3 linked regions of the Lepisosteus oculatus genome follow. The protein of the gene in region 3 binds, or shares a complex with, the protein of the main gene of each other region. Links are inferred from orthologs where the notes say so. Each region holds a gene or a part of one and is shown on either strand. Other genes may lie near its edges.

Evidence for each region.
Region 1: the proteins of vegfc (region 3) and flt4 are in contact, whole or in part, in a crystal structure (PDB 4BSK), measured with the Homo sapiens proteins. The link is inferred for Lepisosteus oculatus from reciprocal best matches to the Homo sapiens genes VEGFC and FLT4. Residues at the interface, in NP_005420.1 of Homo sapiens: Leu119, Asp123, Trp126, Gln130, Asn167, Arg210; in NP_891555.2 of Homo sapiens: Gln172, His199, Asp200, Ala201, Leu202, Tyr203.
Region 2: the proteins of vegfc (region 3) and kdr are in contact, whole or in part, in a crystal structure (PDB 2X1W), measured with the Homo sapiens proteins. The link is inferred for Lepisosteus oculatus from reciprocal best matches to the Homo sapiens genes VEGFC and KDR. Residues at the interface, in NP_005420.1 of Homo sapiens: Thr148, Asn149, Phe151, Lys153, Phe186, Ile188, Val190, Pro191, Leu192, Gln194, Pro196; in NP_002244.1 of Homo sapiens: Val135, Tyr137, Ile215, Val216, Val217, Val218, Asn253, Val254, Gly255, Ile256, Asp257, Phe258, Asn274, Arg275, Asp276, Phe288, Leu289, Ser310, Ser311, Gly312.

The regions. Positions count from the first base shown.
Region 1 is NC_090706.1:38,157,540-38,165,588, reverse strand, and holds the start of flt4 (vascular endothelial growth factor receptor 3), read right to left. Parts: upstream 3,074-8,049; 5' UTR 2,727-3,073; coding exon 2,669-2,726; intron 1-2,668. UniProt on the Homo sapiens protein: Tyrosine-protein kinase that acts as a cell-surface receptor for VEGFC and VEGFD, and plays an essential role in adult lymphangiogenesis and in the development of the vascular network and the cardiovascular system during embryonic development.
Region 2 is NC_090696.1:78,665,688-78,672,621, forward strand, and holds the start of kdr (vascular endothelial growth factor receptor 2), read right to left. Parts: upstream 3,105-6,934; 5' UTR 2,865-3,104; coding exon 2,801-2,864; intron 1,242-2,800; coding exon 1,145-1,241; intron 1-1,144. UniProt on the Homo sapiens protein: Tyrosine-protein kinase that acts as a cell-surface receptor for VEGFA, VEGFC and VEGFD. Plays an essential role in the regulation of angiogenesis, vascular development, vascular permeability, and embryonic hematopoiesis.
Region 3 is NC_090696.1:73,855,885-73,863,668, reverse strand, and holds the start of vegfc (vascular endothelial growth factor C), read left to right. Parts: upstream 1-4,762; 5' UTR 4,763-5,231; coding exon 5,232-5,348; intron 5,349-7,784. UniProt on the Homo sapiens protein: Growth factor active in angiogenesis, and endothelial cell growth, stimulating their proliferation and migration and also has effects on the permeability of blood vessels.

The sequences.
Region 1 (8,049 bases), on a different chromosome or scaffold from region 3:
AACTGGAAATCTCATCATACGAGAATAGCATAACTTATATAACTCATCTTTAACTCATCAAAAAGTTACCATAATCCACAGTCACCCTTGACAATAGCATCAATATAGTGCAAGAATCTACAAGTTTTAATGCTACACTTCACATCTCATATTTCAGTGTTTCGAAGACAAATAGTAAAAATAAAGGCAAGTATTCCAAAATCCATGCAACTTCCTTTCCCAGAGGATCCCATTTAGAAATTGCTGGATATTTTTTGAGAAGAGTGAGGAGACTGTTTTATGTCTTGCCAAATGCCTTGAACAACAAAATCCTTTTTTCAAAAAGGAAGCCAAGCAGCAGAGTTTTTAAGTGAAAAGGGAAAATGTTCTTCTTTCGATGGTAACTCCGCACAAAGACAATAAAAGCTTCAATAATCTTCTTGTAGAGTTGATATAGGCAAATACTAATAAAACAAATATTGTTTTTATGTGTTGTTGTCTTACAAATGTTAGGTTGCTCACAAATTTGCTGAGGTAACTATAGGATACGTCGCATGAGCTCAGTTGCGTTACTTCTATACAAATGACATAAGGCGAATGTCCCTGTATAACATTTAAGTGAATGTAAACTCTGCAAATGAGGCAGAAGCCACCATGTCGTCTTATGACCAGAACAAGGAAACAATATTTGCATTATGTAAAAAACTTAATTAATCCATTGCATCTCCCTAACAAATGAAACCGGTATCATCAAGGATATGGAGACTTCTGGGTAATTTCCACAAAGTAGTCTGACTGTCAGCTTACAAGGTATAAGCGATACTCAGTTATTAAAAAAACAAGAGTAAAACATAGGATTCGATTTCCATCTGAATGAGTGAGTGGCCTATTTAAAATGCGTGGCTGTTCTCTTTCAACTTTGACAGGTTTCACCGTTCAAAACCAATCAACTTGAGGAAAGCATACAATGCACTTATTAAAACTGTGATACAACACATCCTGTGCTTGTGAAATTCTTTGGCCGCACGTGAAAACTTCTCCAAACTCTCATCTATTATTCATCCACTGAGACTGCGCTGCGCTGTCTAAAATTACTCGGACTCGGTTTTGCAACTGCTCTGAAACGTCTGCCAGTTCGTACATGGAGCCATTTCACAAGTCATTGTAAACACTTTGATTAAACTAAAAATACGTAAAATGCAGGTTTCAAGTGGAGCGGCCTTGTTATTGTCATGAGACAAAAATACATTTTGAACCAAAAATGTAAAAGTCTTTGGATTACACTACATCACATCTAAATGAGGAGCATGGGGATTTGTATACCATGTAGTTTCACATCATACTCAAAGTTTTGTAGCATCTGAAAATGAAAATCCCGTTATAAGCATCCCTCAGGTCGGATGCTATAGAAGTTGCTGTGGCCTGACGGTATGACAACATAGGGTCTCCCCCTAGCGGTTGGTAATACTACTGCATGTGAAATTGTAAGGCGTTGTCTGCGTTCTCTGATCAATTAATCGTTTTCCTTGGATCATCAAGGTAGTGGCGCGGATCCCAGATACTGTCACTTCAGCTGATATTTAAGTTACTCCTCCTGTACTCTTTTGGAGATGAATAGCTGCAGCTCCGTATTATTAATGTAACTGTCGGATCATTAACCTACACTTATGTAGCTATTATTTTTTTCATGATATATCATTGTAACACTATCAGTTTAGTGAATAATATACTTTTTGAGAACTGTTCAAAAACGAATAGTCTGACACAATTGAAAGTTATTCTTTCGTACTATTTCATACAGTAACGTTACGCATCATCACAGAAGATTCTCTTCTGTCGCAGAGATTTTAAAGACGTTTCAACTCTACAGTAGTATTCCTCCTCTATAATTATTTTTGTAATCGGAATGTTCAGAGTTTTTAACGCTTATCCTCGTTGTTTATTTTTACTTAAACCTGCGACTTTCGATAATTTTACATTATTTAGTAAACCGTAATGTACTGTTACAAAGGCCCACGAAAACAGCTCGTATTTCTGACGCGAACAACCTGTTTCAACCTGTCAAATACATTCCGTGCAAAATGTAGCGTAATCGAGGGCTGTTTACTACGCGAAATATGGGAAAATACCTTTACAAGCATCACTTTATTTGCGGAGACAGGTCTGTTAGTTCCATAAGCCTATTGAATTTATATCGAGTGAATAAGTGAATTCCATTCATAGCCAAAGAAATTAGTTATATGAACAGTTTCAATATTGATTGATTTGAAAAAAAAATGTATAGAGTTCCGAAATATTAATTACGATTCTTTCTTTGTATTTCACGTGTATTAGGGAAGAGACCTATTTATGACTTGGACCCATCATAATTGCCGGTCTGTTCCATTAACCAACCAAACCACAACAAAGCTCCCGAAGATACAACATCTACCTTATATTCAATTTATACATAGAATAAATGAATGAGATTATAAATCCCACACATACACAAAGTCGACAGCTTTCTTTGGCAGGGCTTCTGTGCATTTTCTTTGAAAACTAACTTGTGCATTGCAAACACATTTTCTCTCACATCCCTGTAAAAAAAAACTTCGACAGTTGGTATAATAACAGATTAATTATAACGCAGAAACAGCTGAAAGTTTAGGGTGTTACAAATGAGGAATGACCGAAAAGAGGGTACTCCTACCTGATACACAAGCGATCCCAATCCAAATCCGGCAGAAAATAGTAAAATCTCTCTTCATTTCCAGATTTCCAGTCCTCGGATGTTTAGATCTAACGAATTAAAAAATAAAAACCCAGTTGTTCCTTTTTTATCTGTGAAATCAAAAAGGAGAAAGGGGTGAGAGAGAAGTCTCTGTCCGCGGTCACAGCAAGTCTCAGGTGAGCTTCAGCAAAGCTGCTCTGTCCTCACTGCGCGACAGGGAGGATGTCTAAAAAGTCAGGGAAGAGAAAAGGCGCTTTTCCTGTTAAAAGGAAATGTTTTTTTTAAAGATCAGAATGGATTTACAATGATTTCCTTTTCCCCCTTCTTTTAGCGCTCGCGACTGAGGCACCACATCCACCGTTAACTTTCACAAAAATACAGAAATGGTTTTGGCGACTGTTCTCCATGATAAACCCCCTCCTCACTTCAGTAAAAAGCGAAAATCCCTCCTCCACTCTGTAACACCAGCGCCAACATAACAACGAAGAAGACAAGTGTCCGAATAATTCTGATGTACATTTAATTGTTCTAGCATCTGACATCTGGAAAAATAAAACTTTCAAGTATTGTTTTCTCTGTGTTAGGAGAAAACAGTCAAACGTTTGAGACAGAAAACTGTTAAACTCTTTAGGAAGTTAAATCGAGTATACCTCCGTGTCTTTAAATGATCTTTACGCTTCAATCTGTTTAAAACCAATTGGAATGAAACATCGGTGATAAGAGTGATAAAGCTGAAGAAAACGTTTCTAAAAGAACAATTTCAAATACCTCATGAAGGAAAATCAACACTGTAAATTGTGCTTTGGTGTTTTTGTACTACGGCAGGTCTCCCACGAAACATCACCTACTAATTTCTTTTGAACCGCTTACAGAAATTAACCCCGCTATGCCGACTCCCATACCTCAGTGTGTTTTACTTTGGTTTGCCAGTGAGCATACGACCAATGCCTAGAGTACAGAATTTTCCAAAATAGTATTTTCTTTATATCATTGTTATATCTCATCTCCTTCTTCTAGTCAGAGCTTTGAGATTTTTAAAATGTGCTTATAAACAAAGTATAGTGTAACGCAACGGGGGCTCAGGCGGGCGCCCTTGCCGCATTAGGTCGGCCCCTGCACCGTCCGGGGCTCGAACCCGGGACTTCCGCGTCTCTCTGCAGCGACCTAGCCCCGTGAGCTAAAGAGAGATCTCTCCACAGCCCAGTAGCTGTGGTCCTGCTATCACAGGGAAGGGCAGTGACGTCACCCGCTCTGGTACGCCGGCTCTTACACAGTGCCTGTCGGCCGTAAGCGTTACACTCTGGTGTCAGAAGTGGGATGGGATAGCCCTTCGCCGGGGACGGCGATTTAAGCGGGGGAGAGTGTAACGCTTACGGCCGACAGGCACTGTGTAAGAGCCGGCGTACCAGAGCGGGTGACGTCACCGCCCTTCCCTGTGATAGCAGGACCACAGCTACTGGGCTGTGGAGAGATCTCTCTTTAGCTCACGGGGCTAGGTCGCTGCAGAGAGACGCGGAAGTCCCGGGTTCGAGCCCCGGACGGTGCAGGGGCCGACCTAATGCGGCAAGGGCGCCCGCCTGAGCCCCCGTTGCGTTACAATAGTATTCGCAACATATCTCCTACAAGAAAATGTAGCCACAAATGAAAAAAAATGCAGTCCTTGCCCCTGTCATTAGATCACAAACACCACAGCTACAAATAAGCGATACCAGTTGGAAAAAAAGCGAGGAGATTATTCAGATTCATGCAATATATCAGCATTCAAATTAAATTAACATCTACCAAGGCTTTGTAATGACATACACCACAGAACATGTTGCGTGAACTGGCTTTTAATATCGATTTGGCTGATGCTTTTATAAGACGCACTTTGCAGTTGGAATCACTGACAGAGTTGGCCATTTTGACAGACCAATTCAAGGTAAGTGTCTTGCTCAAGGGTGCAACAGCAGTATCCCACCTGAGGTCCAAACCAACAACCTCCCAGTGACAAGTCCAGAACCCTGACCGCTGCTCCACACCACAGACTCCATGGGCTTTGATATCTGAGCACAATGTTTCCTTTTCGACTATTTAGGCCTTAAACAATATCGTAAAAACCTGCAAAACTTAAGGCACAGTAAGCTTGTACTCCAAACCAGACAGGAAAATCCTGAATATTAGATGGACTAAGGAAATGTCTAAATTTTATCAGTACCGCCATTGCCCTGCATACGTTCCTGATTGCTGCACCCCTGCTTAGCAATTTTTAATGGTTGTGATCCCCATTCACAAACCTTTGGTGGTGTGGGAGAGTATGTAAGGGGAAAAACAAACCAATACAAGTACTAAGTGTGAAGCATCGCCTTCATGTGCTTCACAGACATTTGTATAAATCCTAAAGATACAAGAATGATGCAAGTGATTAACTCTTCCTAAGGGAAAGTCACTACAGATGTGCATTTACATTTTTAATTACTGAGAAACAGGGATAAAATCTGGTATTCAGTTCCACCGTATGTTGTACATTTGCAACAAGTGATGTAAAGAGATGTTCAGTATTTTTCTACTCTCAAGCCCCATCTTCATAGACTGCAAAAGCCATCAGAATTAAAACCATGTGCTCCCTACAGACTCATATTAAGTAAGTCCTTTGTGAATTCATATCACTCTGAATTTATACTAAAAAAATAATAGAGGCTGGGTAATCAAAAGCCACCGGGAAGAAAAAAATGCTTAACTTTGGATATTTTCAAAGCTCCATTTCAGGAATTTGACAATCGGCACCCCACTAAGTTATCGCAAAGCTCTGTATCATGTTTTCCCAGAGAAGACTCCCTGTGCTTGTGTTTTATTTGGCCATGGCATCATCTATCAATAAAGCTGTTATTGTGGGCAGAGCATTCTATAGCATGGTCCTGCTGAGAACTCTTCTTCATGAGCCCACATTCAGCACAGGCAGAGGAACTCCAGCCTAATGCATTACCTTAAATTGATTCCTCCTGAAGAACTCCAAATCTCTTCACACAGAGTTCATTGTTATCTTTGTACTGTTTATATCAACAGCTGTCACAAAGCTATTACAAAACCTGAAATATTCTGATACTCCCCACCTTGGAAATAGCCTCAGGACTGAATATTGAATGACAGAGTGCTGAAGTTTGTGTGCATTGCTCAGTGGCATCAAAAACTAAGAATGTGTGTGGAGGTTCCCAAAAGGTTGATTAAGTGCACCCTTCACAATATAGAAATAGCCACTGGAGTTAACAAAAAGAGACATGTTAGTTATCAACAAGTCTTGTGAGGACATGACATCTGCTTAAGATGAGAGAGATCTGAACAATGCCATTGAGCCCTGAAAGGAAGTTACATTGTGCAAAGAAAGTGCATTCTTCAGCAGGAATGTAAAGAAAAATATTGAAATAAGAATGTTTTTCTATTATTTTAAGCAGTGAGGAATATTTTACATTGCGCCTCAAGGCACCCATACCTCAGACCTTCCACACAATGTTTGCATTGAACAGTTGTAATTAAAAATTGTTCCTTTGGATTTCAGGTCCACAACTCTTGGCAAGGATCCTTGACAATAAAAGGCATTCCTTTCTGGCAAGTTAACCCCCTGTTCAAGACTCGCGATTGCTAGCATGCTGACATCTTCACTGAGTACATAAATGCCTGGCCAGACCCTGCTGATTCAACCCAGACAGAGCCAGAGGTTGCTGAAGATCACAGAGTGACCCCAGAGCTCATACATCAACTTTTATGTATAAAATGTCCCTGTGATTCAAACCAATTGTAAACGTGAAGATGTCAGTTAAAGGGATTACAAACAGCCCAGCACTCTATAAAGATCAACTGTCTAATACAAAATGGAAGGAAGAGTGTTAATGAAGGTCATCTCCTCTTACCTCTCAAATGGATTCCAAACAAGACAGCAGCCTGAGACGCTCTTCAATGCATGAAAAGCACAAAACTCCCTCACAGTACTCATCTACCACCTCCAAACGAAAAACAAGACTCATTTTCAGCCATTCAGAAATTAATAATATTTTTCAAGGTTTGAAAAGAGAGGGGTACAAACTTGTGTGGGACCGGTCCTTTGTTTAAAACTCTAATCACATTTTTTTGTCTCTGTGGTGTGGAATTTCTGAATTCGGCATCAGCTGAACATTGCCTTTTAACTGACAGTCTGAGAACAGAAGAATGCATATCTGAATAATGGAATGGCTTACCCTTGCAAGCAAAGTATATAAAGTATATATGTATAACTGGAACTAATAATTTGATTAACTCGGAATTTTTCATTGTTTATAGCTTAAACGGTGTTGTATATTTTAAACTGTCAAGTTTTGTAAGCGCCCTGAAATCTATTCTCTTTATGGAAAATGAAAGCATTAGACGTCAAATACTGCTATGCATATTCATGTCGTGCTCAGACTTTTGTGGTTACTTTCCCTAAGTAGGTCTGTGTCCCGAGCAATGATACACAGATTGTTGTCACAATCTGATTTAACAGGACAAGGCAACAGGTAATGGTCATGGTATCCTGGAGCTTTTCCTGCAATCACAGGGTACAAAGCACCAGCACATCCTGGATGAGATGCCCGTTCATGTCATGTGCATACAAACATGCCCAGGAGTAATTTAGAGACATCACTTAATTTAACAGGACCACTGGGTAACAGATCGAGTTGTTTTATGAGGTCAAAACACAGAAAATTTGCAAGACTGATCAAAACCAAAGCAGAAGGGAATAGATAATATATTGATGGTATTCTTCTGCTGTGAACAGTAACATACCTTTGAGCACAGCACAAAAAATAACTGATTGACAAAGGGCAGAAATGCCCCTGAGGAAGATGCTGTTTTTTGGCAAAATGATAACTGGGACTCGCCATCACGCAGAGCATTTCATTGCTGTTCCACAATCAAGTGAACAACAGAGAAAAGAAAAATCAGCAGGGAATGCCAATTAATGCGTATCAGTTTCCAGATAAAAGAGCTTCGGCACAGGACCGTAACTCCTGCGACACTTTTAAAGATAGAGGCTCCATCCTGGGCAGCGTGTCTGACTGGGGCTCGGTAATGTGTTTCCTGACCCTGGGACCTCATGAATGGAAAGAACTGGTTTCAAGGCTCTGTCCTTGAGTGGACACCCTGGGGGGGACTCTTGAGAAGGAAATTGTAGCCTTTCAAGTGCCAGCTAGGAGAAAATAATAATAATAATAATGAAAGAAAAAAATCTTGCTTCCTTTTACAATTTTTTTCACCCCTAATTGCCAAGTGGATGTCCTAATGTTGTATGATATCTTCCGCAAGAGAGCATCCCATTTCCTCAGTGACGAACAGGAGGCAGTCACACCTGGCTGGACACTGTGGCA
Region 2 (6,934 bases), about 4.8 Mb from region 3:
CAGCATCGAAATTATAAAGACCAACTTTATTCAAAAATATGATAACTGGTGAATCATTTGTTTTCACTATCAACAGTGACAGTGGTATGTAAACTGCCAACTTAAAATTAACTTCATTATTTTAAAAAAATCACATTATTGTTTTCATAAAACCACAAAACCTAAAAAGGTAAAACCTAAGAAGAACTTTCATAAGCAATTGAAAAGGAACCCTAAAAGGTTCAACTTCATAACTGATGCCTGAAGCACATTTTCATGTTCAATTTGGATGATTAAATAATATTGATGGTAAATTATCCATCCACCCGAATTCTAACCTCTTTCTTGAATTTAGGGTTGCAGGGGAGCCAGAGCCCATTTAAGAAAGCAACTGTGAAAGGTGGGGTACACACTGGACAGGATGCCAGTCCATCACAGTGCACACACAGACACAGATACACACACTCACAACACAGCCAGTTTTCCCAGAAGCCAATTAACTTGCCAGGAAACTGGAGTACTCGGAGGAAACCCATGTGAACATGGAGAGAACATACATATTCCACACAGACAGCACCCCAGGTCTGGAATTGAACCCAGGGACACAGTGATGCAAAGCAGCAATGCTTCGATGAATTATTTGTAATTTATTTATTAATTTTCTCTGTTGATTAATTTAAACTCCAATAATAAGAACTGCATAACTATTTGATAATCAATATTGACATATCTGAAAAGTGTTTTTGGAGTCCAATGATGGATTATTTAATAACTAAGTAATTAAGGATAACCTGAAAAGCATAAAGGAAAATCAACACATGAGAAACAATTCTAAAACTTTAAGGAATTAGTTATTTATCAATGTACCATACGGCAGCATATCATAAAACATAAAATGTGCAGGTGGTTTTTGGATCAGTTAAGTACTCAAACACTAGGCTATCCAAGTCATCCTAACATCAGCAGGATTCAGTGAGTAGAATGTTGCTAGTAAATCTGCAGAGTTAATGGCCATTCTAGAACTTTCCAAGTATTTTGAAATGGATTGAAAAAGTTGATCACACATTTTAAATTAATCAATTTGTTAAATCCAAACATCATGAGAATAATGTATGATACATTTCTTTACATTAAATAGCCATTCTTGGTATAGTCTGTGTCTTACCTGCATGTAAGTTCCAAAGTGTCTGTAGCATTTATTTTGTATACCTTATCTGAGATGCTAAGTTTTGGTGGATCAGGCATATACTTCAAGGTACTTGCTGAAAACAAAAGTGATTATACAACAGGTGCTGTTAGGAATATGAAGAACATTTTAAATTATTTTGCACAGAAAGTGAATGCTACATACAGTAATGAAGCATTACAACATGCAATGTATATTTTAAAGACATTTACTTAAAAAATATACCATTGATAACATTCAACTTTATAAAATCTCACCTAGACTTAAAATTACAAATTTTGTATAATTTGTGTGAAGTTCAGTTCATTGTATTTTTTGTGTAACAGCAAGTCAGAATTCTGTCAAAACAGGAAAAGCAGGCAGATGGCCTCCAGTTAACTCAATGGCTTTATATTTTCTGAAATTAAGGTGGAGTTCCTGTTTTCTGGTGTTGCTGTGAAACAGACCAGGGGAAAGGATATAGTGTATTGAGAAAGGAGACCTTCAACTGATGCTTTTATCCTTAAGGGAATACTTAACATTTCACTGAATACGTTTGCATGTTTTCTGCTGACCTAATATTTCTAGTGTCAGCTTTATTTAATAGTCTATATACTGTGCTACCAATATCATACATTTATATACTATCTAAATAATTGGTATGTACTATCAATTGATATTAATACAAGAGTGCCTTGCAGTCCAGAAGTAGGATTCTAGACAGAAAAAGAAACACTTACTATAGATTTTCAGTTAACAGATAAAGTCATCTGTTTTCATATCAGCTGCTAATAAATTTGGATATTTCGTTTCTACCAAAGCCTGTAGCTGCAAGGTAGTTGCAGCTGAAGGATTAAGAATGTAATCCAAGTGTATTTTAATTTTAAAATTGATCACACATGGAATTTTCCACCAAAAGTAAGAATCAGGGCAGTTTGTCCTGCAAGCTGTTTACTATAAAATGTTTTTTTTTCCCAGGCATAGTAATCACCAACTTCTAGCACAGATAAAACTAAAGAGAAACTCATAGTTACAAGCATACGTCAATGTCTAATACATTTTGCTGTAGTTATTACTTTAAATTATTTTGTTTGTAATAATTACAGTTACAGTAAGCAACAATTATTAAGCAAGTGTGTATCAACCAAATATAACTTTTCATTCAGAAAATGATCAGGACAATAGAGTAAACATAATATATTTTCTGTTGCTGTGTTTTTTATTATAAAAAAATAGGGTTGCCCATTCAGTACGTGACGGTAAGAAAATTGTCTCAAATTCAGTTATTTTGCAGTATTTTCTTTTTTTCCCCTCCATTTATAATAAGCATTTGAACTGTCCAAACTCTACAAGCGAATTTCATTCATAACAATAAGATGTAATAACACATGTAAGAATGTGTTATATATTTGCTGGGTCTTTATAAACCTTCAGTACTTTGTTGTCGTTCTATGCATATATGAACTCCTGCAAAAGGAATTTGACCGTCATTTATTATTTCTATAATTCGTTTTATGACTACAGTACATGCGTTTTCACCAAAGCCCACTTCAGAAAGTTAGCGTGCAATCTAGTATTTGGCTTATGAAGATGACGTAATATTTAATGATTAAACTGTTACTTCACTATATTTAGCAGAAACGAAGGATTTCTTACCTGTCAACCAGTGTGCTTGAAAAACAAATCCCATAAATGTAATGACAATACATGAATATGACATTTCCGAGCACAAATGAGGTGAAATCCCGGCATTAAGATGCAATTACCTTCTGCAAGCAATCATTACACGCATATATTCCAATAATTAACCTGTTTCAGAAATGTAAAACCTTGTCTTTAGTATTGATAAAAAAGGATAAAAAGTATAATATTTTAAGTGTTTCCCGGAATGAGCGTCAGTTCATCCTTTCGAATCTGTGTATTTTCTCTCCCGATTCAGTAATACAGTACATTCAGGACAAGCTGGTGGGCACTGTTAGGGTGGAAATTCCTTTAGGAGGGAGGAGGAGTTTCCTACATTCGCTTGACAACACCCAAATGAGCTCTAACTTCAAATATCCGACTATACTGTAGTATCCGTCACTTTGATGATGAATGGACGGCAGAGTATTCTATCGTGTAAGATGTGTAAAGATGTAAAAAAGGTAGATTCAGAGGGATTTCTCCGAGATAGCTGTCGTTAGTATTGTCCAGCCAGAGGATGTTCAGAAGTGGAAAATGATCTAGAGATTCATTTATCGTTAAACGCCTGATTATTTTTGATACACGAAGTTTCATATGTCAATAACATTGCGATTACAACATACAGAGCCTTCAAGCCACCAGCATAAAGATCTCGAATTGTCAATTTTTTACAACTTTTTGTTTTACAACTCATACCTTCTGTAATTGCATTCTGTTAGTTTATGCAATTGCGCACCGCGTAAAGTTAGCTTGAAGTTCGAAAATGATTTTGGCATGCCTGTAGCGTTTTCACGAAACGTAGTTACGAAAACACTTGCTGTGTGTACAAAGTACATTGTGAATATTTTCACATTTTCACAGCCTTCACTATGTCGTTTTTACGCCATTTTTTTATCACGCACGAATACTCTTACGTCCATATCTTCGCAAGGGAAACACAGAAAGCCTTCAAACCAAACGCATTTTGAAGATCTCTACTTGTGAAACTTTTCACAGCCTCTACATAAAACAATCAGTGAGTTTATTCCTTCTCATAGTTTTTTTTAATCATTTAATAATGGGTGCTCCTACAGTTGAGAGATCTGCATAAAGGACCCAAAGAATCTAAAAGCTTCACAGCTCAAGGGCAAAGTATCCAATCAAAAGGCTTTTTTATTCCTTTTTAGGAACATATTTATAGCAAGCAAATTATGCCTAGGGACATTTTTTTCTGTCTGTATAACTGAAACACACCTTGGAGTACTTTCACAATGGTTTTCTGTTTTAATTAATCCAAACATTTCTGTCTCCAGCATGCCAAAACAATAACGTCTTTAACATCATCCCTGAAGACATGGTCTTCCCCCCTTTGTTTTAATATGACTGGATATAACACAGAATTGCATACATATTTTATCATCAAATCTGTTGCATCTGATTCTATCATTGCAATGGTTGTGCATGCATGTAATAAGGAATACAACAATTAAAAAAAGATTTATCGATAAACACTTCTGTGTTTCCTTTTTGTACTGTATGGTGTTGGATTCCTAGTCCCTAGTTTACAGAACCAATACTCCTGCAGATAAACTTAGTCCTTCCACTGAACTATGCTTTGCTCCTTTCAAATCTATCACTACATTTCCTGCTTGCAAAACCTACCACTGTGACATTGTGCATACCATACCCTCATCAGACCAGGGTTTGCAAAATGTACATGTCCAGGTATCTGAAAAAAGAGCCAGGTATCTGAAAGAAAGGCTTCACATATCAAAGCAAGGTTGTAATGGGTCAGTGGGCATGCCTAGTGTGTAAAACCCTTGGTTACAGTATAATGAGTATGGTTGTGCAAAAGCTATTGACTTGTGAAGAGCACCCCCATCCCCATGTACTGCCTCTCTAATGGTGCCGTATTGAAAAAATCCTAAAAAAAATTCAGAAAAGTTTCACATCCCAAAGCAAGGTTGTATAAGGTGAGGGGACCTTCAAAGTGTGTAAAAGTATTACCTGTAGTGTGATCTTCAAAAAATCATTAAGAAATAAAGAAAAGTTTCACAACCCAAAACAAAGCTGGGAAAGGTCGGAGGATCTGCTTAGTGTGTGAAACACTTAGTTGCAGCTTTGTGGGTGCTGTGGTTTTAATGCTATTGGCTCGTGAACAGCACCCCCTATCCCAGTGCAGGGTGCCACATTCAATAAAACCATGAGAAAAAGAGATTCACAACCCAAAGCTGTGTCAGTCTTCTGTGTAAAAAAAGTCATGGACATTATTATTTGAACATCATGGGTGCTGTTTTTAAAAAGCTGTTGAGTAAAGATTAGGAATTTTCCTGCTGAATGAAAACAGGAAATAAAGAAAGGATTTCAGAAATAAAACAAAGCTTTATTCCTGTGCTTACAGTCTGGGTAATTGGAGACTGTGCAGTTCTGCTTCCTATGGTGATATACAGTACAGGTTTTTCACATGAAACTCTCTAGAGCAGTATTTCTCGGGTTGTGAACGCATGTATACAGCGGTCCCCCAGTGTTCCAGATGGTGCGTAATTGCACATCATTGAAAACCCAGAGTGTCCCTGAGTGTCAGAAAAAAAGAATTAGGTAACTGATATGTTTATGTAGGGGGTGTGAAAAGTTTCACAAGTAGAGGTCTTTAAAATGCAAATAGTTTGAAGGCTTTCTGTGTTTCCCTTGCGAAGATATGAACATAAGAATATTCCTGCATGGTAAAAAAAAATGGCAAACAAAACGACAAAATGAAGACTGTGAAAACATTCAAAGTGTTCTCCCAACTCTAGAAGGTTTTGTGAAAAAGCTACAAGTGTGCCAAAATCGTTTTTGAACTTCAAGCTAACTTTACCCCGGTCTGTTTAGTGTGTAAAACACCTAGTTGGAGTGTCTGATTGTAAAAGAACATCGCCCTATCCCAGTGCATTCCATGGCAAACCGTGACATATCCCCCCCCCCAAAAAAAAAACAACAACAAATGACCAAAATGTTTCACAAAAAATCAAAGTTGCGAAAAGTTAAAGGTCTTGTTTACTGTGGAAAACACTTGGTTTGATTTTTGAATATGGCAAAGTTAAACATGTAATACACTGGGATAGGGAGATATTTTTCCACAGTTAGTAGATTTTTTATAACAGCACCTATTCTCATCCACTTCCACCTGACCAATATCTATATATATAACTGGCTTGCAGATTTTGTTTTCACATCTCTTCCTCCAACCCATCTTCACCCTTGCAGTAGCTCCCTGGATAATCCTTCATGAAAAGGAGGAGGTGGGTCTGAAAGTCCCATCCTTATGGACAGGTTGTCACACTCCTCAACCAGGCAAATTAATAAAAAAACTCACTATTTGAATCATGTCTCTTCTCAACAGTGTTTAGGGTTTTGAGTGAACTACTGAAATGACTAAAAGACAAGGACAAAACAGTAATAACTGTACGTTTTAGTGAATAAGGGAAAGTACATTTTGAGGAAATAACATATTTTTCTCCTTTGATTAGTCATGTCCTTCCTCTTAACTCATCAGAGACCTGCCTTAGAAAAACAAAGGGAGATGGGTGTTGGCTGTAAAGATACACAACACTGTTCAAAATGGGAAAATTCTGTGTTGCTTACTATGAATGAATAAGATCAGTGAGCTGTGTCAGCATGTATTGTAAGCACACCTCAACACTGCTGCTGGCCACTGTCATCTTTGCTAGTGCTGGTGCATGAAGCATGGGTCCAAAATTGCACTGTAAAACAAATAGTTCTTTTTATCAAAATACATTTGAGAATTTAAAACCTTTTAGCTACATAAACACTTAAAATCGACTTAATTAGGCCAAATACTGGTACACCTATATGCACATTGAGGTGTTGAAGATGTCTGCAATATATCCCAATCTGTTTGAGGTAATATGTCTGACAATAATTTAATATTTTTTACACACTGATAAAACATAAATTCTGAATAGATGTTGGCATTTGTCTTAATGTCTTTCAGTATTGTTTATTATAGCCTTTGGTCTGTCTTGACCAGGTATTAATCCAACAGTATTTTCACCTGCATGTATCTGTGATACTGGTTAGGTAGTATATAAAGTATTATATTTGCTATCAAGTAAATAGCATATTTCA
Region 3 (7,784 bases):
TATGAATTTCCTCAAGAAGCCCAGACTCATTTCTTGCTCATGAATGGCTTTGGTGCCCCTCTCCTTCACGGTCAGTTCAAGTCATGCGACTCCACAAAGACTGGAGGGATTCTGATTCCTATCTTAGGAACCTATTGGGTATTAATGGCAGATCCCCATTTCTTCCCACTTATAATGCGCCATCGTGCTGTCATGTAATGATATAGTGTGCTGTGACTGGCTGTCATGTGATCAGCAAGCACTAAGAAAGAGCCCGAGCTTGTTATCCAAGTCACAGATTTCAGCCTGTCTGTGTGTGCCAGCAAGAGTGACAGTGACTTAGAAAAACCGAATAGAGGGGCCAAATGGCCTACTTTTGTTTGTATCTTGCCCTCAAGATTTACAAGCCTGGAACTGTAAGAATGGTTGAAAGACGATGACGGGGCCTTACAAAACTGGAATTGTATTGGTGGTTGGAACGGAAAGCCAGTCCTCCCCAGAACTGATTTTAAGTACCCCATGCTTGGATGTCCATCTACATGATAAGAGATGATCTACTGGAATGTCTAACAACCTGGTCGCAAGTAGAAGCATCATTATCACCTGTACTTATACACTCCGCCATGCAGTCCGGCTCCAGATCTAAACCCTCCTCAGGTGTCCAGTGTCCAAGCTGCACAGCCAGACAAGGGAGAAACCCAACATGCCAAAAAGGCTGGGCAAGAGGTGAGATTCAAGTATGTTCAGTATACAGTAACTTGCACTTCATTCCTTATTTTATATTTCCATAATTATTTTGCAGTACCGTGCATGTGTTTCCCGTGAAGATTTCCACTGCGAGTGAATATTATTTTTCAGTGGTGCAGCTAGATCCTAATGAAGGCAGCAGAGGGATGGAGTATGTAGGTCTTAGTTGGCGTGGCTGGACTAGCTGAGGGGATGGCAGCCTAGCTGGGAGCTTTTCTATTGAAAAATAAAAATAATAACAAGACAAGGTAATGTGGTTTTCAAAGCTTTAATAATAATTTAAAAAAAAACAGACCCAAAAAATATGAGGGCCGCCAGACAACCAGCTCAAGAATAGTATATTCTAGTGGATTCAGTTCTATCCTGAAAACCAAGTGTTCCAACCAGAATCATGTGTGATTTTTTACTGTAAGTGGATGTTTTCTACAGTCCAATTATTGAATAATGGAGTATGTTAGGGCTTTCCATGATACCAAAAGTATTCATAATAGTTGACGAGTTAACAAAAAGGAGTGTTATTTTATCACAAATACCAAATTGCTTAAATTTATTCCCTCTAAAAAAAAAACATGCACAACGTCAGTCTGAAAATGTAAAACCTTGAATCAAAGTTTATTTAGCCAAGAAATAAATTATTATTTTTTCAGAGGTGCCCGAAATAACCCCTAAAGTTCTCCTCAAATGTCCAATAGTAGTTTCAAACAGGAAATCATTTAAATAACTTTTCTTTGTATCTTCATCAGTACGATTCATTATCAGATGAAGGATGTTCTAAGAGAACTTCTGTCTTTGGCTACCCTTATCAGACTTGCTCCTGTAATGGTCTGTTTATTGTTGTATGATGCAAGCTAAAATATTCTCACAAACATTGGGAACTTTTTAAGTCCTCAGCTCTATCTAGGACACCAGGGCCAGAGGACTCAAAACAACTCAAAAGAAGAACAGATCCTTGTCTATTATTCACAGAAGGAATGGTGTTCTTATTTAATATACTAGATGAAACTGTTCAGAAAGTCAAATTGTGTTTCATCCAACCACATCATGTGGTCTCATTTGAGATTGGAGCTGTTTGACATAATGCATTTTTTGTTGTTTTATGCTACTCAAAGCCGTAAAATCTAAGTTTTATTTAGAAGTTTTTTTGAGGATCTCTAATGGTTACTTATTATAGGTGGGAGTAAGCATCCCAAACTACTTCTTTTTAATGCACATAACAATTTAAAACATCCTTTTGGTGGATTAGCCTTGAACTTTACAGTATAAAGATGGACACAATAGGTGAAAATGGCATGTCTGATGGATTTCCTGCAGTGGACTATGGATTTTCCTGTCACATACTGTAAGTTACTGAGCTTCATAACCTTTTACCTTTGATCTTTGAACAATATCTGACTTTCTCCATGATGACATGGTGCTGAGTTTTACTTCAGTGTTTAGCTTCCATGGAAACAATCAAGGAGAAGCCCAGAAATATCTGAGGTTTCGTGAAGCTATTGGCTGCACACATAAGAGAATCAAATTAACAGCATTTATTTTCAACACATTTACAGGAAATGTGAAGGTTATACGAATAAATCTGAACATTTTGCAACAAAACATATTTTATAATTTTTTACAGTTACACATTATATATAATCAATACTTTTCATACACTTTAATCACTTTTTAATTAATAAATGTTTGAAATTCTTGATGTACAGTATCTCTACAGTTTAGGCTAAAACTTACTGTACCTTCCCAAAGGAAAATGTAACAAGATTGCTTTCTGCAATCACAATTGAAGATCTTCAAGGTCTCTGGCTCCCTATTCTGGTCCTGGGCCTTCTGTTTTTTCAGGAATTTTTAATCGAAAACTAATTGGTTTCAGTTTTCAGTTCAAGGAATGTTATAATTTGCTTTTATCTCTTCAATCAAATGTCACTGTGACTGGTATGAACCCTGTACCAATTTCTGAGTTTCAGAACTTATCTCATTCAGGTTTTTCAGCTAATATTTAACCCACTAGACCACAGCAAAAGAGAAACCACTCACTGAGGGAGTGTCTGACACATTCAAATTTCCCCATCTGTGTCTGCTCATCGTGAATTGATCACTAGTTTCGGCAGAAAAAAGGGAGCCACTTCTTAATACACACATTGGGAACAAGGCTGAATTAAGTTCTGTATATTGAATTTGGTGGAATAATACTTTGCATAGAATATTTCTAGGTGCAGAAACAGGAAACCGAGAATCTAAATCAGCAGATCTCGGCTGGAATGAAAAGCAGCAGACACAGAGATCTCCAGGACGGGCCGTGGGAACACCTGCTCTAGGTATTATTATAACACAACATTAAGCATTAATATTCCTTTCTGTTGATCTGTTTATCAATCCAGTCCACATCACCTGTAAATGCATATGTGTGTTGCCTCCAATCTACATTTCCATCCTCCTGTATCTCTTCAATATCTAGTAACTTATGATGGAGAAGACAGTCAGTTATCAGGAGACTTAATTATTTTTCTAATTTAAATTAGGGGTTTTCCATCTGTGTGACTTGTCACAGATGAGATAATAGCATTTCTTCATTTCTGATTGTCCCCCCCTTTTTTTATTTGTGTGATACGCACACTGTAGCTACAGCACCAATACTTGCAGTACTTGGGTGTATCAATATTTCCCTTAAATGCTATCTAGGAGAGATGATAACTTACTTACATTGCTTCATTTTCTTGTTCTCTCTCTGTCTATATATAAAAATGTTTTTCTTTTGATAGCTTTTGAAGCTATTGGAATCTACATGTAAAGTACAGTATGTTACCTGGGGAGGTAATGTACAGTATATTAAAGAGATGATAATGTTTTATCATCCATTGCATTCTACTAAGTTTACTATGGTAACTAACCGTATTTGAAAAATAAGAAATTAGCATAAGTTATTTTCGTTTTATTGCAGTTTTATCAAATCAGTGTAACCACTGGATAGTATTTTTTCTGAACACTGAAGTCTTTTTTCTGAATACTGAAGTCTTTTTTCGGAATACTACAAAACACTGCCACTACAAGCCATTGATCTCAGAAATGTAGAGACCTCCCACAGTGTGAGCTGTCTATATTATTTCCTTGTCTGTGGGTCACTGGAACAATGGCTGAGCATCTGTGTCTAATAATAATAATAATAATAATAATAATAATAATAATAATAATAATAATAATAATAATAATTATTATTATTATTATTATTATTATTATTATTATTATTATTATTAGCGACCAAAAGGCACACCATGAGGAGATAAATGCTTGAAATTTTGGACAGTGGAGCCTCTTTTTTCAACTAAGCGTCCCACAGTTAAAGTTGTACAATGGTTATGCTATTGTTGGTGAGATGGAGCGAATAAAACTGTTAACTGTTTTAATTAAGGATATTTTTAAACAAAACAAATATGTTTCTATTAAAAGGCAGACTGATTTTCAGTGAATAAATTCGTGTTTCTGTGCAGTTAGCCTTTCTCATAAAAATATCCTCCCGCTGACACGGTTTTATGCTGAATAATCAAAAGTGGGATGCTATATGGTTTGAATTTCACATTTGTTAAAAATGAGCTCCGACAGCATTTATTTCAGTTTAGCTGTAGAGAAACGCTCACATTTGTGCGTTACAATATTTCCCATAATACAAAAATATAATAAACTATTTACAACACACATTATTAGTATTATGCTTATTTATAATAATGTTGATAATAATACTAATAATAATAATAATAATAATAATAATAATAATTATTATTATTATTATTATTATTACATGCTTAAGGGCAGTCACTGATAAAAATACATGTAACAACTAAAGGAGCCACATGGTGACAAACAATCTTGACATTGATATTTTGATTCCTTTGGTTCTTGAAACGGGGTTTTACTAGAAAATCCACATGAACAAAGTTTCTAACTGTCTGAAAATACATCTGTACATGCATCGGCGTTTCATATTTTCAGAAACCGCATGGGGCTTGTGTAAGAGGTCTCCTGGAGAAGGCGCACGTGTCCCAACTCATATTTCTTTCTCAAACCTCCTGCTTTGTATAAATACTAGCATATCAGCTTCTAGCTGCAATCCCGACTAGACCAGATCCGAAAAACCAGGGGGAGGAGAAGGAGAAAGGGAAAGAGGGCCACCGTTAAATTGCATTAAACATGCCATTCTCTCCTCTCTGGGTCTTAAACTGGATGTCTACTGGTCTTGTGCAAGTTTCGTACCAGACAACACGTGAAAAGATCTCCTCCTAAATTTGCCTTCCTTTTCGCAAGCGATTCCACCGAGTCAACTGATATTGATGCGTTTCTGAATTTTTAAATGATTGTCAGCCGTAGGAAACTCGGATACCCCCATGCATTTTAATTTGGGTCGAAGAAAGTCTGAAACTGCGCTTGAGCGACTACAAGATACCAAGACCGATTAAACTTTTTGAAAGGAAATATTGCGACTGCTTTTGGTCTCGGGATTGCTGAGATAGTGTAAAATGCACCTACTTGGATTATCTCTTTTTCTCGTCTATGCAGTGTTTCTTTACAGAGACTTCGCTTTTGAATCAGGTCATGATTATTACGACTATGATCAAGATCAAGGAGATACGAAGGTAAGCGTTTATTGCAGTTTGCCCTTTTCCACAAAACGTGGAAACATTCGTTAGCATTATCGGATGGTAATTTCGGTGTGTGAAAGTTTACCAGATGCTGCAACACTGCCAAAAAGGGAACAGACTAAAAAGATTACGAAGGTATTTACCACCTGGTAGACTATTTCGACATTTGGTTTGCGGAGACTTCACTCGGTGGCATGATGTTCCTGATGCTTCAAATTTGCGGTGAAAGTACAACTCTGGGTATTACTGTATATACTCAGAATATTATTATATAACGTTTTGTTTTTGGTAATCCGGTGTACGATGCACACTGATTACTCTTTTCTTAATGAGAAATGTCTCATCAGTCTGTGAATGAGCAACGCATCTGTTCATACCTGTAAAATCATCCTAGATCGGATTTGCGTGGTGTGGTGTTCACCGGGTAACAATGTTAAGTCAGAGGGAGCCGATGAAAGGCAGCGAAAGTTTTGAAGAAGCCGGATAAAAGGGGTGGAGAGGCAGGTGTCAGCAGGTCAAAACTCGAATGCGTGGGTGTGCTGTTTTGGGGGAAAAAATCTTAAGAAGGAATTTGTGACATGTGGCTGTTTAGTGTGATATGCGTATCATAGTTTCCTTTAAGATATCTTAAATTATATTAAGCTATACGTTTTCCCATGTTCGTACTCAGATTGTGTTTAAATATTCGAGATATTGCTCAGTAATTATAGACATTTTAGCAGCTTAATCAGAGTCAAAATGCGGTGCTGTTTCTGTTCGATTACTTACTGTACTGTATATGTCGTCATCTGTTCACACTTTTACTGCGTTTCTGTACGTATTTAGGTTTGTGAGTTCAATTTAAAAAATAGCTCTCTTCTAGATTGCTGCTTCATACCAAACTTTGCCAATTTAAGACAAATGATAAGGGAATGAGCCTCAACAGCACGTTGTTAAATATTACTGCATGTCAATGGTGAGATTCTGTGAGAAGTTTGGCTTTTCTGTCCCTCCATCTCAATACAGAATACAGATGTAGAATTTCTTATGGTTGCAGTGTAAGATCTCATGTTAAATCAAGATGGATTTAAGGACAAATCATGTTTGGGATCTCAGAATTAGTGGTAGGCAGCACCAAATCTTGCAAGTTGTTTTTACCCTCTTAAAGCGTGGAGACAGTATACAGTATGAGTTACTCTTTTTAACATACAGTTGGTCGAATTAAGAACTTAATTCTGGAACTAATAAACCCACTACTGCTCGAGATACCGTACATTAAACTTTCCACATTGCAATCAAACTGGTTCCTATCAGAAACCCCTGAAGACTTGTACATTGATATATTAGCTTTATGTTTCAGGTCTCTGAATCTGTGAAAGGCTAGTCCTGCTTAGTTCTTGGATAAAACAATCCTTGAGGGGAAACAGGATGATGCTTCTTGTAGCCCTCTTATGAAGATAAACATAAAGCAGTTACTCAATGTGGTACAAGGGGGCGCCATGATGGTGCAGATGTCTGCTTAGATTACAGTGAGGTCCTGCCTGATCAGTAGGGGTTGAGACTTATTGACACTTTTTTCGTGCAGTAGAAGTCGTACTGATTTTGCTGTATTTATCAAAGGGAGTAAAAGTTTATAATGTTTGGCCTTTTTAATTTAGTAGCACATGCTCATCTTAGAAAGATGGCTTCTACTGTATAGTACACTTAATTATGGAATGGTTTCATCTGGATCATTGAGGAAACATTATTTGGGTTTCTTTGTTATTCGTTAGAACAGTGTGTAAGTATTTTTTGGTGTTTTAACATTCAAAACTTAGTTTTTAGTGTCCATTGCACTGGGCAGTAACAGATGTAGAAGACAACAAAGGGCAATACATGCAATAATAACAGAGGAGAATCCATTAAAGCATCAGGCCAAAAGTACAGTATATGCTTAAAAAGCAACAGTGCTGTTACACTTCTTTGTGGGGAATTGACTCACGGGTATACAGTATTATGATGCAAAAAGGAAACATTCTCCAGTTTTGACTTCTGTAATCTTAGTAGACTGAGACTACTTAGACTAAAATGTAACAGTGAAAGAGCTATGGGAGTGAGTGGTGTCTGGGCAGTTTGTTTTATTTTATTGTACATGAGCTCATCATGAGAGTCTGGGTCAAGAAGTTCATAGAACAGAGAGCCCTAAAATGTTTCACAGACATATCAATTTTCAGTTTAGTCTCCTTTGACCTCAATGCACTTGGCTTAGGTGTCCTTAAAACTGTATATGCCAACCAATGGGGTCCTTTAATATTACCCCTTGAACTAGGCCTCTGTGGAACACTTTGTGCTTTCGTCATCTGCAAACCATGAAGGAGAGCTCTCAGAGTTCAAAGCAGATAATAATTTCTTAGAAACAGATCTGTACTATAAGATAGGTATTCAAGCATGCCAGAGTTCTGTTCACAAATG